Linked DNA regions of Caenorhabditis elegans. The protein of the gene in region 3 purifies or fractionates together with the protein of the main gene of each other region. This does not show direct contact. Each region holds a gene or a part of one and is shown on either strand. Other genes may lie near its edges.

Evidence for each region.
Region 1: the proteins of rsu-1 (region 3) and F19C6.3 fractionate together in Caenorhabditis elegans (co-fractionation; one large-scale study listed by BioGRID). This does not show direct contact.
Region 2: the proteins of rsu-1 (region 3) and utx-1 fractionate together in Caenorhabditis elegans (co-fractionation; one large-scale study listed by BioGRID). This does not show direct contact.

The regions. Positions count from the first base shown.
Region 1 is NC_003284.9:10,004,429-10,010,791, reverse strand, and holds F19C6.3 (VWFC domain-containing protein), read left to right. Parts: upstream 1-2,027; 5' UTR 2,028-2,036; coding exon 2,037-2,249; intron 2,250-2,599; coding exon 2,600-2,796; intron 2,797-2,838; coding exon 2,839-3,004; intron 3,005-3,272; coding exon 3,273-3,347; intron 3,348-3,508; coding exon 3,509-3,579; intron 3,580-3,626; coding exon 3,627-3,723; intron 3,724-3,793; coding exon 3,794-3,900; intron 3,901-3,943; coding exon 3,944-4,115; intron 4,116-4,173; coding exon 4,174-4,245; intron 4,246-4,796; coding exon 4,797-4,916; 3' UTR 4,917-5,488; downstream 5,489-6,363. Other genes in the region: F19C6.2 (uncharacterized protein), read right to left, coding at 5,893-6,129.
Region 2 is NC_003284.9:8,555,199-8,563,531, forward strand, and holds utx-1 (JmjC domain-containing protein), read left to right. Parts: upstream 1-1,952; 5' UTR 1,953-1,981; coding exon 1,982-2,047; intron 2,048-2,099; coding exon 2,100-2,176; intron 2,177-2,229; coding exon 2,230-2,556; intron 2,557-2,605; coding exon 2,606-2,726; intron 2,727-3,058; coding exon 3,059-3,199; intron 3,200-3,253; coding exon 3,254-3,526; intron 3,527-3,642; coding exon 3,643-3,762; intron 3,763-3,906; coding exon 3,907-4,039; intron 4,040-4,730; coding exon 4,731-4,915; intron 4,916-4,962; coding exon 4,963-5,187; intron 5,188-5,615; coding exon 5,616-6,488; intron 6,489-6,543; coding exon 6,544-7,133; intron 7,134-7,181; coding exon 7,182-7,370; intron 7,371-7,554; coding exon 7,555-7,675; 3' UTR 7,676-8,037; downstream 8,038-8,333. Other genes in the region: dhhc-14 (Palmitoyltransferase), read left to right, coding at 8-108, 527-697.
Region 3 is NC_003281.10:3,470,154-3,474,556, forward strand, and holds rsu-1 (Ras suppressor protein 1), read left to right. Parts: upstream 1-1,849; 5' UTR 1,850-1,855; coding exon 1,856-1,943; intron 1,944-2,409; coding exon 2,410-2,498; intron 2,499-2,554; coding exon 2,555-2,756; intron 2,757-2,936; coding exon 2,937-3,205; intron 3,206-3,256; coding exon 3,257-3,415; 3' UTR 3,416-3,566; downstream 3,567-4,403. Other genes in the region: C34C12.9 (uncharacterized protein), read right to left, coding at 4,102-4,347.

The DNA.
Region 1 (6,363 bases), on a different chromosome or scaffold from region 3:
TTATTCATCATCTCATCGTATAATTTTAAATGAAGATTCATATGAATTATCCACAGGAAAGATGAAATCGGTGGACTCTGGAAAGGTTTGATAAAACATTGCGTGCAGTTTTGAAAGCTTGTTGTAATATTTCCGATGAATATTTTTAAAGTTCCGGTTTCAACCCTCTTCCGTATTGAGTTTAAATAATTGGTATAAGATGCAATATTATTTAAATTTTTTGCTTCACTTCATTTATTTTTGGTCAGAACCTTAATGTTTTCAAAGCTATTTCGATATATCATTCCATTTCAAAAATTTTGACGCAAAGAATAATTTGTTTCAGAAGCTGACAACCCAAAAATAAACCCACTCCCAAAAGATTTCATTAGTATTCAATGAGTAGTAAGTAAACCCTTCTTCTCTATTCAATACAGCTTTCAAAAATCTCATTTATTCTAGCACGCAAAAGTTTCCACAAGTTTTGTTCAAGATTTTTGTTCTTAGTTCTATTTTGTTCATATATAAATATTTTCGCAGTGGCTCATTCATATTCAGAGTTGCTTCTTTTTTCGGTTTTTTGGTTTTTCATTTATTCTGTTTTTATGAAAGGAATCTTTGACAAATCCATTTAGCACTGAAGTATCGAGACAGGCTACTAGAAAAAAAATTCGAGTGTCAAGGAGTTGTTCGAGCATATAAAAGCTTGAGAGGGTTCGTTCACAAATTTAATTTTCGCGAGTTTAAGAAGGAGTCTGTTCTATGTATCAACGAAAAATTGATTCCATTTTGTTCAAATGATTTTCTGAGTTTTCGTTTGCTTCAACTTTGTGTTGCCATTTCTGTTTTTAAATTGTTGTTGAATCTTTTTTTTTTTTGGAATTTTTAAAATAAAACAATGTGATGTAAAACAAAATAAAATTAATTTATAAACATTACTTCAAAATACCTCGCTTTCAGTAAACTTTTTCGAAATAAATTGAGAAAAAACTGTACATATTTAGTTTAAATTAATGATCATAATCATATCAAATACGTTTTCGATGTTACTTTTGTTGTTTGCGGTTGTAGCGGGTTGAAGACATTTAAAATAAATAAAAGCAACTTACTTCCGCAAGTGGTGACTTTGTCAAGCTTACAGAACTTAAGACTTTTTTTTTCTGAAATCTTCGGAAATATCTTTTTTTTAAGTCTTGAACCGTCATAACTTTTTTGATATATTTTTAGAACGTCTCATTACAATATTCTGAAGTATTCGGCTATTTTGGGTCTAAAAACAACGTATCAGATTTCGGTACTTCGCCTTTAAAATCTCTGAGAAACTTTGCTGAAAGTTTTAAACTGAAGTAAAATTAGTGTTACAATGTTACTTCCATTATCGAATGATTTTTCCTGTACCGATGCCTCAAAGTAGAAATTGTTTTTTCACAGAGCTTTAAAAATTTTGTTTTAAAGTTCGACCAAACAGAAAGCATTCTTGTAGAAACGCCTAACAACAGCCAGCCCACCTATTTTCCAGTTATCCGCTAAAACTTTAGTGAAATCAAGTTGTATCAATTAGTCAACTACTGTTCCAACTACTCGCCATTTCCTCTGTTGTTCCCAACAATTCACTATTTTTCAATGCCCCAAGATTTGATTTCACGCCTTCACTCAGACATCGCCGCCCCATGTGATACAACATCCGCAGACATCTGGGGAGCACCATGAAAAACTTCTCGGACCCCCCCCCCCCCCCCCCTCCCGAACTCTGCTATACATCTTTTTCTATCTTTTTTCGCAACTTTTCTTTTTTTGGACAGGGAGTGGGCGGGGGCTAGGAGTAACATTGTTCTTTACTCATTCCCATTAAGATATTTATTTGTGGTATTTACTTCTATTTCAGTTTCAAACGTTCTAAATTTTTCCGGCTTACTATTCACATATTGGTTTGTTTTTTTTCTCACGAAATATTTAATTATATGCTGAGCTACCTTGTTATTTATTTTTACTATCATCCTGATCTCGTTTCGTTATTATTTTCATAACTGATAGAATTTCTTATTTTCAGGTTTAAAATGTGGGCTCATCACTTAATAATTCCACTGGTATTAATTTCCGTTAGTCACGGTCATATTGATCGAAGTTCTTATATACTTGCTCATTATATGAACCTTCTGTCAATTGGAGAATCTTGGATTCTCACTAATTTTGATCTCGATTCGAATGGAACGTTTTTCCTGGCACAAAACTCCGAAAGACGAATAGAATTTGGGTTCAAGAATAAGACGGTGAGTTTTTTGTGTTTTGTTATTTTGTAACGTTTTTCCTTGAGCAAAAGTTGAAAAAAAAACCAAGTTTTGATGTTAACTCTGCCTTCCAATTATTATAGTGCCAACTAACCATTTGATCTTAAGACTGGTGTAGCTTCAGTTGGGATATTGTTAAAAATCATTTCAACAGTGCCAAAATGACCAAAAATAATAATAAAACCTTCAAAATATGTTTGCAACATCTTTTTTGACTACCTTCAATGAATAATAGTTAATTTGTGTTCTTACTCATTTTCTAGTTAGATAAAAATCTTAAAGATTGGAATTTAGAGAATCTTCTCCCATTCAGAAATTATTAGTTTTTACAGCTTTACATGGTGCTTCCAATAAGCAAAAGCCGAATACAGTCTAACAACTGGGAAAAGCGATATGTAATCGACTTTGATAGTATTGGAAAAATTGGACGAAATCTAGAATTGATCATAACTTTTCAAAATAATCACATTCATGTTTACAATGGTTGTGATGAAGTTTATTCTGATTTTGAGCCGCATTTGCAGCTAACGTAAGTTCAACTTTTCACAATAGTTTTAATTTTTGCATTCAGATTGAACCATCCATCGCTTCATATTGTCGATAACTGGAAAGGTCCAGAACCGACACAGTTTTTAATAGGATCTGGTTGGCCTATAGGTCAGAAGTGTAAACATGACGGTGTCAAAAAGAAATACGCGGATGCATACACCGAGAAAATAGAAAGAAATTACGAACCGGTGAGAGAAACATTCAAAGTTAATGGTTCTTGGTCATCACTTTCCCACGATCGCTGCATTTCATATATTTAATTTTCTGCATCTCTCTCTTTTTAAATACGTTTCTTTTAATTTCAATCAAATGCTAATTTATTCTACTATTTCGTCACATTCAACGTTTAGAGTGGCAAATGACGGAAAGTAGTAGGTTTTAATTGATTAAAAACCAGCATTGAACTGAGATGGACACGTGGACGAAACTAGTTTTCGTGATAATATTTGTTTTCAGAGTGCAATCGACGCTATCAATGAGATATTTTTTGAAACAGTTGTTCAAGTCCCACCAGGATTCGATGGTTGTAAGGTAAGCCTATAATTGTTTTTTTTGTAGTGTACAAGAGTTACAGTTCAGATATTTGATCGGAGCACACATAAACAGTTTTAATTTGTGATAAACTGTTTTTTAATTTGCAATTAAATTAAAACTAAAGCATAATACGTCTAAATCGATTAACTTTGATTCAGATCAATAATGCTCTTCTCAACATCAATGAAACAAAAACTGTCAATTGCAATACGTGTACTTGTGTAGATAGGTATTTCATTATTCATAATCCCAACTTCCCCAAAATTGATTTTTCAGGGATAATGTAGTTTGTCAAGCAGTGGATTGTCCAGCTGTCACCTGCACCCATCCGATGATACGAAAAGATGATTGTTGCCCGAGTTGTGGTGAACAGGTGAGAAGGCACAAACCGAAACCAAAGAGCACTTCAGTGATACGAAAGAAGATCTTTTAAAATTTTTCAGTGTTTTTACGAAAGTCACAAAATTGCAAACCCTCATGGAGAAGTTTTCTGGCCAGGAGACTGCTACAGGTGTCAATGTTGGGATAAAAAAGTTCACTGTTCATCCGAGTAAGAAAACGTTTTGTTGTGACGACATCAATTTCAAATTTAGATATGCAACATGTGAGCCTCCGAGTTGTCCGGAAGAAGATTGGGTTTACAATGAAAAATTCAATTGCTGCCCAAAATGTCGCGATTTTGCACGTTTCTGTGCAGTGAAACCGTGTCACAAATACGCTACATGCACAGATTCAAAACGTGGGCCAAAATGCTCATGCGACACGGTAAGCTGCTTCCAAATATTTTCCCAGAGGACATCTCTCGATGTGATCATCATTTCAGGGCTTCCAAGGAAATGGCACGTATTGCGAAGACATTGACGAGTGCTCCTTCTCGCAAGACGCCAAGGAACAGGTTTGTCGTTATTCCTCTGACTATTTTATCCGATAGCCAGTGGTCCCTCGAGGCTAAATAGATTTTTTCTTTTTGTCTATTCGTTTTGTGTAGAAGGTGAAAGACGAAAAAAAAAATAAGAAAAAAAGAACAAACAACTCCCAAAACAAAAAAGGATAACAATGAATAACGAGCCCTTGGAGAAATAGCTCAAATTTCGTAATCCTTATTGTTAATATTTTAAATTTTTGGGGAGTGAGAATTGTTATATGTATATACGAATTATCATAAAATTGAATGTTTGGTATCAATCTGATATAATTTTAGACGCACTTTTCCAATCATTGCTATTGCGTTTATGTTATCATCAAATTCAAAAAGTGAAAAAGCCAAATACATCAATGTTATATATGTTTTTAACCATCGTGCTTTTGTTTTGACTGAAATCAATTGAAAAATATAAACAAAGTAGTGGCCCTATTTCAGTGTTTTGTCTTGGAAAAAGCAAGTGTGGAAATAAATTGCTAGAACACTCACTAATTTTGATGAAATAATGAAGTAAATTTTTACAGCTTGGCGGCTGTCTCTCAGGTTCAACCTGTCGAAACGTACCAGGAAGTTACAAATGCGACTGTCTGCCTGGTTATCAAATGATCGGAGAAAATACATGTCTCCTATTAATCCGTGTGTAGTTAATCTTTTCATTCATCGGCTGAGAAGATTGCCCGTGTAGTGTATCTTGTTCGAATATCACCCTATCCTCTGATAGTGGCGCCAAATACGTGTAACTTATCTGTAGAAAAAATCTGCCTTTTTTCAAATTTGTTATGTTTTTTCTTCATTATAATGTAATTACATTATGAGAGAATATTGGAGTTCCTGGTTTTCCGTTTGGTTTGCATTGTTTTTTGTCACTTCATTGTTGTTTTTAATTGTAGATCACTTCGTTTTGGGCACATTTTGATAAGGATAAATTAATCCAAGCCAGAAATTTGAAACTTAAAGTTTCTGATCGTTTGTTCTCTCAATCTTGATTTAGATAAATGTAGCCATACTTTTTCCGTGACTTCAACTTCAATAATCCAATTTCGCTCTTAATTTAATTGCAAACTTTTTTCATTTCATGTGTAGCATGTAGAGTGCCAAAACACTTACCAAATCTCGGGGAAACATTTTTAATTCACTAATAAACGTGACATTGTCAAGAAAATTAAATTTATCTTTGAATACAATGTAAAAATAAAGATTGAAGATTTTTAAAAAAGCATTAAAATGACAATACCAAAAACTACCACGCATCTAAAATACAACTGGGTGACGGATGAAAGTGCAGACAGGAAAAGAAAACATAAAATGAGTAGAGTGAGCTTGATTGAATTAGTAAAATGAAAGCAAAAGTTGACATCGGAAAGTTTTTCATATTTGGAAGACACATTGTGAAAGAAGTAGTAATTTTTGAAAGAAATTAAGGCATCAAGAGGTATCTTGAAATTTGAAATTGCATAGTCTTTAAATATCAGTATAAAAGGCAAATATTGTACATGTTTTGATATAATGAATTAAATAAATTCTTGTGAATGATTTAAAAATGACATAAAGCACTAAAATATGATTGAATCGAATTTTCAAAAAGTTTAGGATTTTGGTCCTATTAATAAAAGTTTGAAATTAGATATCATCAAAATCTTCAATATCTTCGGCGTTGGCAATTGGTGGAGCTGCACGGAGCATATCCGCAACGTCAATTTCTTCATCATCTGAAACAGTTGGCAACCTCTCCGTCACTTTGATTCCTAATCTCGCCTTGTTCTTATTTTTCATTTCTTCAAGGATCTTCTTGCGTGGTTTTGCCATGAACAGTTCCAAATCTTCTTCTTCTCCAAGAGAGTATTCATCCGAAGATGCCTGCAATCAACAGAAAATGATGTTAAATTGTAAAGTGAATTTGATTATAGCCGATTTTAGGTTTGATGCTGATGTGGGATATGAGATCAGAAAAGTCCAAATATCTTTTTTGAGATCGCGTCATTTTTGAGGTTACGGGGTGAAACAGGATTCAATTTTAGATTCTTTTTACTTAAAATTTTTTACTTAATTTTTACTTAAAAGCATTGAGATAGTTTCTTAGTTCTGCGTCCT
Region 2 (8,333 bases), on a different chromosome or scaffold from region 3:
TTTACAGAAGAATTCCTGGAAACTGACGCGTTCTTGATGATCACCATCATTCTCTCGGCGATGCACGCACTCATGCTTGCCGTGCTGTTCTGTGTTCAAATGAACCAGGTAAATATTTCATGAATCAGGCAAATATTTTTCCTATTAGTATTGTATGCAATACTATTTTTGATAGTTTAAATTTAGTTCGAGATTACCTATTTTCAAATGAAACAGCTATTGTGTTAGGTGACGATTTAAAAAAAGTTGTTAAAAATAAATTAATTATTGACGTTTTTTTTGTTAATTGGTTGTTAGGAGTTTTATTATACATAGAAGACAATTGAACTGCAAATAATGAAAATCTTTGAAATTGGCATTTCCAACAAAATTAGGATTGCTAGAGACTTGAACACAAATTTTCGTGGACACATTTAAATGCGTTATTGATAGCAACAGCCACATTACTAATAGAGAACATTCGGTAATTCAATTTTAGAAATTATTCATTCTTGTTACAAAAAATTAAATACAATAATTATTATAGATCTCGCAAGGAGTGACGACCAACGATCGTATCAAAGCTCGCCGAGCTGGTCATGCCCATTCTCACTCCGGCTCCACTGACTACAATGTTATTCATCACAAGCCAAGCATCTCGAAACGGTGTCATAATCTTCTGGAATTCTTTTCCTCTAACGGCGATCCAAACTGGTGAAAATACAAATTCGGATTTTATCTTCATCGGACCTGAAAAACTTGCCCTGCTCCCCGGATTTTTCAAACTTGAGAATCAAAACTTTTCTATGGCATAACAAATCTATCAATAAAAAACAAAATACTTGTAAATGTGAATCAGAAACCTAAATTTAAATTTCATCCCCGCCCATTCCCCCATTCACAATCTACTCTTTTTCATTTTCTTTCAGTTTTACATGAGATACTTCACTTGTATAATTTGGTTGTGAAAAGATTTTAAATGCTCTCTATCTCCCTTTTTCCCTCTTTCATTTCCTTTTTTGTTAAACTTTTTGTACATTCCGGTTAGAATCAAGTGCTTGGAGATATTTGAAGTTTTCCATCAGTTTTCTTACTTTGCTCTTCTCTCTTGCGTATTTCCGAGATCTCTTTTTCTTTACTGTTTTCCTAGATGTAAATAAATTTTCTTGAAATTAAACAAGAACTCAGTTTGTGTTGTCCAAAATCTTGGATTGTAACTTTTTTTTCCAGCGGTCTTCCTGTTGTTAATCTCAAAAAGCTCAGGTTTTAAAGTAATAACTTCTACAACAAGATCCACAATAATGTACTGGTTGCTCTCAAACAAAGTGGATCAAAAACTTAATGTGAAAAAGACATTTCAAAAAACTATAAAGATACCAAAGTTCTATTACTATTGGCAATATTGTTCAAGATTTGTGTTAGTTTTTTATTTACATATTTTTGAAGAATAAAGCAGAGTAGCTTGACAATATTCTTAGCATGGAATTTTTCATAACTCATGTTCTCTCGATTTTACAAATTTCTGAATGAGATTCAGTTCCACTTTGTGCGGTATTGCGAAATCTGCATATATTCACCCTTTCCACAAATTGCCCCCTGACGACCCCAATCCATACTTGCGCACACCATCGACCCACTCCTTGTCCGCCCAAGCGTTTCTAACCGTCTGCGCGTCCGTATACCGAGCACTACCTCTCCATTTCCCCCTCCACCATTCGCCAAACAGGCACAGTAGAGACGGGCTGCGAACGCACGGCAATGGCAACGATACTCCGTTTCTAACGTTGATCTTTGTTTAATAAACCATACTATTTGAATTAAGACACAGTATTGACCAGTTCACAGTGCTCTAATTGATTTTTTGTGCTTATTTTCTTTGTCAAAACTTGATTAAGATTTCTCCAAGTTATGTTTCCTACAATTCTCTTATGTGTATGTATTTTATTATTACTAAATCGCTGCAGTTTTTCCAGATTTGTATAATTCCCAAAAAGTCTTGTGCATGAACACCGTATCGCTTCTCACACCGCCAATGGACGAATCAGAACCTCTGCCGGAGGAGCGTCATGTAAGGATTACTTGTTTTTAGTGCGCAAAAGTTAAATTTTCTCATTTTTCAGCCTGGAAACTTTAAAAAATGGCTGGAACTGCCCCTTCTGACAAATTATGAACTGGAAAGGATTCGCACATTAAGCAGGTTGAAAAATTGTCACAAGATTGCAATAAAGTAAATATTTTTTTAATTTTCAGTTTATCATTCGACGAGTTTCACGTTCAAAACCCAGCCGATCTCACTTATCAAGTCAGATTGTTCTTTGCAAAAGCCCGCCAATACCTTGTCAGATATGTGGATGAGATGAAGAGCATTTATAAAACGCACAAGTACAAGACAATCGAACGGCGCATTTTCTACGGATTGGCGAAACAGTGTCACGTTGTTCTTTTGGCAAATGATTGGACCGGAGCACTGGAGCTTTATCAAGAAGTGTTGAGCCATCATCCTGACCTATTCTCACATGATCCTTCGATGTACTTCGGGTTAGGTCTTGTCTACTTGCATTTCAAACAGTGGAAACCGTGAGTTTTTGTTTTTTTGTTGTGAATAATCTGAAACAAAATCTTCTAGTGCAATCGAGGCATTCACAAGACTGCTATATAGTTTTCCAACCGGTATGATCGCATTGCAAGCAAAAGTTCGTCTTGGAGTGTGTTACATGGAACTTGAAGATTACAACAGATGCATAAATGTAAGTATTAAGAAAACGATCTGAAAAAGTTATAAGTTGAGACATAAAAAAAACAAGTTTTAATTGCATTCAATGCGTTATTAAAATTTGTAGTGTTTCTACAATCTTTCTTAATTAAACTTTTGGTAAGTCTTACCATCAGCTTTCTCGAGCAAACTGGCAGTTTTCCCACAACTAGTTGTGGAAAATTAGCTAGATACTCTACAAAGCTAGATCAAAAGACCGAGAATACGCATGCTTTTGCAATAAAAAGCTATACTCCAGAAACTTTACAATGCGTAAAATTTCGTAAAATCTTTTCAGTTATTTAATAAACTTATTATATTTTACAGCTGTTCAAACTTGCCGTCAACGACAGTGATGAGTCAGTATTTATGCCGAAATTCACAATTAAGTACAACATTGCTCTGAGCCACGAGAATAATGATGAGCTTGAAATTGCAGAATCAGAATATGAAAACCTAATAACTGAAGTGAGTAGTATCACCAAACAATGTTAAAAACAAAAAAAAATCGAATAATTTCAGTTAACACAACACATCAGTTTCTTACAAAGCAAGTCGAATGTGGATCAACAACAAGTTGACTTATTGATAAGTGTGAAAGCAGCATGTTTGCGACAAATTGGCTGGATTTCATATCGCCGCTCTTATAAAGACGATGCAAATCGTCTGGATCATTTGAAGAAGGCCCAAGAGAATCTCATTAGTGCACATGATACAGATCCACGAGATGGACAAAGCTACTACTATCTGGGACGAGTCTACGGGGAACACGAGCCTAGTGTTAGTGGACAAGTGGTTTGTGTTCATTTTGTTCCTTAACAATCTTAAAAAATAACTTGTTTTATTTCTATTAACCTCTAATTTTCAAAAAAAAACGTTAGGAAAATAATTTAATTCTTCCTGAATTTAAGGCACACGATGCGTTTGTCAACTACCGGTTTTCGATTGACAAAAAAGAGCAGAATGCGGACACGTGGTGCTCAATTGGAGCTCTGTATCAGCGACAAAATCAACCCATTGATGCTCTTCAGGTATGTTCAGGAATCAAAATTAGAGTTTTTGGAAACAATGTGCACAGTGTGCAAGATCAGAGCAATTCTCAAAACAATGGCGTATGCCCACCCCAATCTTTCCAATAAATGCCTCCAATTTTTAATATATTGAACACGTTTTAGGCATTCATATGTGCAATTGAGCTGAATTCAACACATTCTGCGGCATGGACAGATCTCGGAGAGCTTTATGAGAAAAATGCCCAGTACCAAGATGCGCTGGAGTGTTTCAAAAATGCAATGCTGAACAATCCAGGTATGTTGATGGTTTCCTGAAAGAAAAAGTAGAAGAATATAAATAAATTATAACTTTTCTGGAAAAACCAAATTGAAATTTCTATCAAAAAATGTTGTGAATGAATCAGTTTCAATATGATTTTCTTCATTTCTTATCAGCCAATGATACTTGCCTGTCTATAGTAGAATGGGTGTCGCTAAATTTGCTATCGCCAAACATTGAATGTAAACTTAAACGAAAATATAAGAGAAATGAAAGGATATAACAGAAGCACAACTAATCTGCTTAATCTCTAGTCACCAGATAAAATTTCCACGTGATTGGAAAATATATTTAAAGGAAGTATGACAACATTTATGACAACGACTGAAAAATGTTTAAGAAAAAAACCAAGTTGTTTCAATTGTAATGGTCTTTTCTAAGAAAGCTCTGATAACAAACAACATTCATTTTGAAATTAGCAATACACACTGTAAGTGTTTCCAAGTTGAAAATGTTTAATAAAATAGAAGACGTGACAAATGAAACGCAGTATCCATTAAAAAGAGAAACAATATATTTCATTGCAGTTTTGAGTTTTTCAAGTTTTAGGAAGGTGAGCTTGTAAATGTAGGTTAAATGTAAAGCTAGAGGCTGTTTTGAGTGAGTAGTAGTAATTAACGATTTCAGATTTTTTAAAGAACAAACTAATGTTATCATGACATTTCAGTTGCTCCGGAACCAATCAAAGCTCGTGTACAATTTCTTGAAAAAGAACTCTCGATGCCTGTGCCCGCACGTCCCTCAAATCACGCCTCGTCATCAACATTTGAAACCGTGATACCTTCATTGAAAGAAGCTTATGAGCAGCCAATACCTCTAGAGCTTCGTAATCGTCAAGACGCTGCCTATGCTGTAAGTGATTGTTGTCATGTGCGTTTTTTTGAAACCACAATTTTTAGGACAGAGAAGCTCAGTATGACAACGCGTTTTGGGATCTTTGGGAAGATTTCAGAACAATGGAGCATGAAAAGCCGGAAGATATGGAATGGGATGTAACGTATCCAAGGCCAATGGAAGATCTCGAAATCCAGGTTATGCAGTTGCTTCGTGCCAACGAACCAGCTTTAGTAAAAGCTGAGAGAGAAGTTCTTGAGTGTTTGGAAACCAGCGAGGCAGTGTTTAAGGTAATAAGAGCTCAAATAGCTGACAAACACAGGCCAGTGAAAAATGCGAGCAAAAAAGGCCAAACACGGCTTAGAAGTCATACTCTTTTCATTAGTGTATGATAGCTATACATTTATGCCAGTACATCAAGGGAAGTGATGATGCAGTTGCTGCCAGGGCGGCCGCCAGTGTTGCTTCTAACATTAAAAAAGGAAAAAAACGAGAGAATTTCATAGCGTATCTGTTGCACAAATCTCTTGAGTAGACGCAATGAGCCTAATTATAAAGCTTTTCTATGTTCTATTGTCGCATGTAAAATATATTCTGAATAACTGAAGCGTGATCAGAACTGAAAGTTAAAGTTGTGACTCACTTTTTCTGTAATCTGAAACATTTGAAAACCATAGGGATTATTAAATGGTTTATTGAAAAACATTAAATTTTTCAGGCAAAAGTTATTGAATACGTAATTCCGGAAGCCGTTCGTGAAATGCCACGTGTCACCGAGGAAATGATCCAAAACCTTCGCGACCATGGGCATCTACTTGAATCGCCGAGATGCTACAGCTTCCCATTCTTACCGAAAATTTCGTTTAATGACCTTCCGGATAGTTTCAGTTTGCTCTCGGAGCTCTATGTTTCAATGGATATCAGCGCTCAGGAAATTATGCAAATGGTTCATAGAAGAACTCAGCCAAACTCCACATACCTACCAGTGTTTGAAGAATTTGCGAAGTTACCCGAGCCACCACGAGGTCCCGTAAAGCCAATTGTAACAGATGAAGATGTACGCACGGCGCTAGAAAGGAGTGAAAAGCATCCATTAATTCTTAAAACCCCAATTCTTACGGTGGACAATAGGAAGGAAGCTCAAAGTCTGGAATTACAACGGTTTTTGGATGGGTCTACTATTTCTTGTATTCGTGGACTTACTGGTTGCCTTCGCCTCGATTTGTCGCTATTCTCCACGAAAGCAGTGGCAGAAATTGACGGAAACCAAGAAATTGAAATCCGAACTCAGTATCAACTACCACCAGAAACGAACTGTGATCATGCAAGTCAACAGACATGGCAATGTGTCAGTGATCCCTCGTACACAACAGTCAACAAGTATGCCGAGTATCAATCGGAATCGTTCAAGCACACGCTAAAGGGTGAAGCTGAGAAAATCAAGAAAAATGTGGGAGGAACACGTGGACCTTCTCCTAAAAGAATGAAATTGTATAAGCGAGCCAGCTCTCCACCGAAACATCTGAAGTCTATTAAATATGGAACTAATATTGATTTATCTGATGACACTAAATGGGGAAAACAGATCAACGTAAGTTTTTTTATTGCTCCATATTTTAAAACCAAACACAACTGCCGTTTTTCAGGAACTTTCTAAACTTCCTGCTTTTTGTCGCCTCATCGCCGGCTCAAACATGCTCTCCCACTTGGGGCACCAAGTTCACGGCATGAATACTGTTAAGCTTTTCATGAAAGTTCCTGGCTGCAGAACACCAGCTCATCAGGATAGCAATCACATGGCTTCCATCAACATAAACATTGGTCCCGGTGACTGTGAATGGTTTGCCGTTCCATACGAGTATTGGGGAAAGATGCATAAGTTGTGCGAGAAGAATGGCGTTGATCTTTTGACTGGAACATTTTGGCCTATTATCGATGACTTATTAGATGCAGGAATTCCAGTGCACCGTTTCACACAGAAGGCTGGAGACATGGTATATGTGAGTGGCGGAGCCATTCATTGGGTACAAGCTTCGGGATGGTGCAACAACATTTCTTGGAATGTGGCGCCACTCAACTTTCAACAGTTGAGCATCTCTTTGCTCAGCTACGAATACAACAAGCTGCGCCGATTTAAGAGTGAAGTTCCAATGCAATTAATGTGCTGGCAAGTAGCAAAGAATGTCAAGTTTACCAACCAGCTCATCTACAATACTTGCAAAGGTGTATTGATTAGGTGAGTAGCCTAAGAAGAACAATCAAGTTTGTAATAACTTTATTTCAGATCACTTGCATTCCTGAGAATGGTTGCCGATTATATCGTGTCTCAGAAGAAAACCATAAAAGCTCATACTCGAACAAGTGGAGAACAATCCCATTTCTGTATGACGTGCGAGTGTGAAGTGTTTTGTATTTTGTTCGTGAAGGATATTGGCGGAAAGTTTACAGTCTTCTGTGTATACTGTGCTAAATCGTAAGTTTTCAAAATTTTTGAACGTTTTGGGCTTAGAAATGGTTATTTTTTATGCCTAAAAATACAAAAACATTCAACACGTGATTCTGTATATTTTTGAAAAGTTACTTTTAAAAAATACACAAGTACTTGCGGAACCTCACTCAGAATTATAGTGGTTCGAAAAGAAAATGTGATTTTTCAGGCAAGGAATCGAAGGCTTCATAGCTCTTCAGCAGTTCTCGTTCACCGACTTGTACTCAATCTACGACAACATGAAATATATACCCGCAGCTAACAACAATAAGATGAGTTTCACTGCCTAGAAAGTTCTAGTTAGGACGTTTTAATCATTGCATATTTTATTTCACAAACCTGTTCCACTTGATGTGCCTCTCTCCCTCACCCCAAACATTTCCCCGTTTCAATTTTTGGCGAAAGCTCAAAAGGTCTCGTTCACTTATCTCAATCTTCTCAATTAGTTCATTTGTGTCCCTCTTTCGATACACTTCCAAAACTGTGAAAACCCAAATTTTAAACTATTTCCTCAATTTATCTGATCTCCTGTTTATTGTTGAACTTTTTTTTCAAACTGACTGCCATGTTTTACAAAACGTGGGATTGTTAGCTCATGGATTGTTTTTTTATTTCGAGCTTTAATTTTTTCTAAATAAACTGTTGTTTTGATAAACGGAAGTTTTATTAGTATAGAGAAGGCAGTATCCGCATTTTTGTCAATCTTTTATATTGCGGTGACAGGAGCAGCGCAGTTTGACATGATCTGAAAAAAATCATACTGAAATAGTTTCACTTGTATTTTTAAAGTTTATATGGGTTTAAGTGTAAAACTAATTATCAATTATTCTTCAGAAGCGCAAACTTACTTTTCGAATTCCTGATAGCTCAGCAAAAACACATGAGTTTGGGTATGAAAACGTCATCAGATGCCGTTGAAAATTTGAACATACTGACTGATTAATAATT
Region 3 (4,403 bases):
CGGTACCGGTACCAGGGTCTCGACACGACACATTTCTCTCAAATACATGTGACTTTAAATGTGTGCCTTTAAAGAGTACTGTAATTTTGAACTTTTGTTGTAGTTACGGAATTTTCATAGATTTTTTTGTAGTTTTTGTCACGAATTGTTAAAAATTTATTCGATTTCATTAAATAAATATATTTTTATTTAAAAAAAAAATTAAAATTGTTGAAAATTCTCTTTAAAGGCGTACACCTTTTTTGCAATTAATAAGAAAATTGTCGTGTCGAGCCCCGGGGCGCAAAAATCGCAAAATTTCACGTCTGGGTATTATAAAAATATAAAACCATTTTTTAGGCCGATAAATAATAATTAATCACCAAGTGTATCCTCCACACAGACTACAAAATAAGAAAAAGAGAACCTTTTGATCGGAAGCGGACACACATTCCGTATCTGTCGGGAGGGATAAACCGGTCTTTGATCTACTTTTTCTCGGGGATGTAATTCATTATAATTGACGACAACTGACAAGACTAATTAATTTACGAGCGTGTCGAAAATCGATAATTTTGATTATTTTTGGACATTAAAGCCTTTTTTCAGTCTAAAAATCGGTTTTTTGGCCAATTTTTAGAAAAAAAAAATTTCATTTTAAAAACTGACGTTGGCTGTTGGTTGGCAGGGAGGAAGAGACATCTTTTTTTGTTTATTTGGAATACTGTGAGAGAGAAAAGAGGGCTTAGAGATATTGATGACGTTTCATAAACGGATTTATGGGCACTGAACGGAAGGAAATTAATTTTTTTTTTTGCTTTTTTAAACTAAAAAGTGAAAAAAGAGAGAAAATGAAGCAAAAAAAAAAGACGACGAGACAATCGAAATGTTTACCTTTTTCTCTCTTTCTACTGAATTTTTTCTTATCGCTTTTTGCCATCTTAAGACAAAATGATTAAAAATAATTAAAAATCAATAAATGCTGCCTTCAGTAACCTTAAAGGCGCGCCTCAAGAACTTAAAATTAGTAGTAGTTCGTTGCGAGACCCATCACTTAGATTTTACTTGTGCCCCTTTAGAGGTGTACCAAAAGACGAACATTTTGAAGAAAAAATTTGTTTTTTTAGATTAAAAATAAGAAAAAAGGAAAAAAAAATTTGTGTAAATCTAATATCTAAAATTTTTTGATGCCGAAGATTAAAATTTAGAAATTTAAAATCTTTAAAAAATAGGAAAATCTAGAAAAAACACACAAAACCCAAACCTTTCAAAAAATAGAATTGATCGCAATATGGGCCCGAAAAAAATCAATCAATAAAAATGTAACCTTCTCCTCAAGGAGGATCCTCCTTCCGCCCATCGCTCAATGAACTTTTCACTGCTTCTCATCGTTCTCTTGGCAAACTGAAATGTCTCCAGCACCCTGCGTCTCTCCAACAGTGTAATACTCTCTCGCTGTACACACTTTCCTTTTCCCCCCATCTCACCCCACACACGTCCATTCCGCCTACGATTCGCTGTCATTTCTTCTTTTTCTTTCGTCTTTCGTCCCCTCTCTCAACAAATATATGTCTCTGTGTCTTTACAGGTTCATGTACTATCTCGTTGGAATCCCCTTGAATGGTATTCCAGCTGTGTTTCCTTTTTTTCCCATTTTTTTGCTAGTTCTTCCGCAATTATATTTAATAGAGGATTAGAAAGTGAGAAAGTGAAAAAGATCTTTGGAATTGCTATTTCTTCAAATTTTTGTGTCGATGCACCATGTCAAAGTATGAAAATAGTCATATTTAACACTGATTTTATCGTTTATCAACTCGCGAAGCACCATTTCCTATCCACAAAAAAAGGATGTAAAAAATTAAAATTTCAGGTAAAAATGCCAAAGGACAAGAAGAAAGACGAAGTGACAGAGGTTGAGCATGTCGATCGGAATATTTCGTCGTTTTCTCAAATTTCACATCTCAGTAAGCATTTTTTTGAGCTCTGCGCCACATTTGACGCGCAAATCTTCAATTATTCCATGGTTTCGTATGCATTAGAAATTGATCTGGCGGAGCAGCAGCTGTTGCTCTGTGCTCAGCTCCTCCGCGGGAAAATCGTAAATAGAATTTGCGCGTCAAATACGGTGCATTGGGTCTGTAGATCAAAATAAATGTGTTGCTTCTTAGGCTGAGGCTTAGGTTCAGGCTTGGGCTTAAGCTTAGGCTCAATCTTAGGCTTAGTCCTAGGCTTAGGCTCAGGCTGAGGGTTAAACTTAGGTTTAGGCGTAGGCGCAGGCGCAGGCGCTGGCTCAGGATTTGGCTTAGGCTTAGGCTCAATCTTAGGCTTATGTTAGGCTTAGGCTTACGCTTAGGCTTAGGCTTACGCTTAGGCTCAGACTTAAGCCTAAGCGGGATAAATTTTCGAAATCTTCCAAAAATTGAATTCCAGTCGATGCGGAAATCATCACTCGTCTCACTTTGAGCCACAACAAGCTCACTTCAGTACCACCAAATATTGCGGATTTGGTCAGTCTTCAGGTAAGCCAACCCTACATCAAGGTAATCTTCTTAATCCAATCTTTAAAAAATTGCAGTCCCTGAATTTGTGGAATAACCAAATCGAGGATCTACCTCCATCGATTTCATCTCTTCCAAAACTTCGAATTCTTAACGTCGGAATGAACAAGCTGTCGATTCTGCCACGTGGATTCGGATCCTTCCCAGAGCTGGAAATTCTTGATTTGACCTACAACAATTTGAGTGAACGATCATTGCCTGGAAACTTTTTCTTTATGCGTAAGTGGGGGAAAAATTGGAATTTTAAATTCTTGTTAGGACTGGAATAAGTTTGATCTACAATAAATGCGGGAACGTTTCGCCCAGAAAAATGTGATGTTGTACACTACATCAGTTAAAAAAGCTGAATCTGGGGCATCCGGTGTTCCCTTCTCCGAAAAAACCTCTCCCAATTTCCAGAAACCCTCCGCGCCTTGTACCTCGGAGACAATGATTTCGAAATGCTCCCCGGAGACGTCGAAAATCTTACAAATTTGCAAATCCTCGTGCTCCGTGAAAACGATTTGCTCACTCTTCCAAAAGAGCTGGGAAAGCTGACACGTCTCCGTGAGCTTCATATTCAGGGAAATCGTCTGGCTATGATTCCACCAGAGCTCGGAAATTTGGAGTTGGTCGGGTCAAAGCAGGTGCTCAGATTGGAGCACAATCCATTTATTCCGAGAATTGAGGTACATATATATTTTATTTATTTTTTATTTAAAAATTTTCTGTGATTTTAGGAGCAATTCGAGGCCAACGGAGCCGCCGGAGTCTGGGCTCACATCAGAACTGACGACTATCGATATTTCTTCGGTCGTCAGGAACCATCGTCAACTCCAGTTCCACCAAAAAGAAATAAGGAGAAGAAAGTATCGAGAAAAGGAATTCAACAAGCCTAAAATTGCCATTTCAACCCAAAAAATTTTTTGACCTACTCATGGTGCTGCCTAAATAATGCTTTACTTTGTTCAATATTGAATTGAATTCAATCATTTAATTGTGCCTTTTTACACTGCAAATAAGAAATACTAATAAAATTCTATCGAGACAAAAATCATCATTTTATTCAAAAATTATGCAAAAACTTGTTTGGATTTTGCGTTGGTCAGCAGAGAATTCATGGTAAGACTAGATTATGTAATAAAAAATTAATAAAATTATGCGTGATAGGAAGGGGAATTGGGGAACCAAAATATGACAGAAGCCAGGAAAACCAGTAAAGGGAATTTTTAACAAATTGAAAAATAATCGAAACATAATAATATTAGCAGAATTATTGTGTCTTTGATAGTTTTCGGTGCAATACTGGTGTCAGACTGCCCCATTACGGTTTGACCTACAAAAAATGCGGGAATTTTTGCATGACGGCAGCACGTCCTCTAATCATGCAAAATCAGTTGAGAACTCTACTCCCGCATTTTTTGTAGATCTTCGTAGATCAAACCGAAATGGGACATTCTGACTACTCGGCCACTGGGATGAATTAATTATGACAGCCGTCATTGGCACCAGTCACGATGCACCATATCTTACGCGCAAATTCAAAACTTCACCAGTACCTATTAAACACACAATAAAATAGATCCTAATGTTTAAAAATCGAAAAGCACGAAAAAACGCGTCTCAAGTGACTTTTCCTCTTCTTCTTCGGCGGGTACGGTAGATGTGTGAAGCTTCTCGAAATTGAGCATTTCTCATGATTTGCGAACATTGGATTTATATGGGATTCTGGTATTGATGAGATTGTTGTGGTTGTTGAAGGGTTTCCAGTTGAAAAAAGATTTCGGAGAGATGAGTAGAAGCCTGTCGACGAGCGAACTTTGTAGTCGTCCTGGAAAATTTTATTTATTTGGAGTTCTGAGAAGTGATTTTTGCACGTGGTGCCAG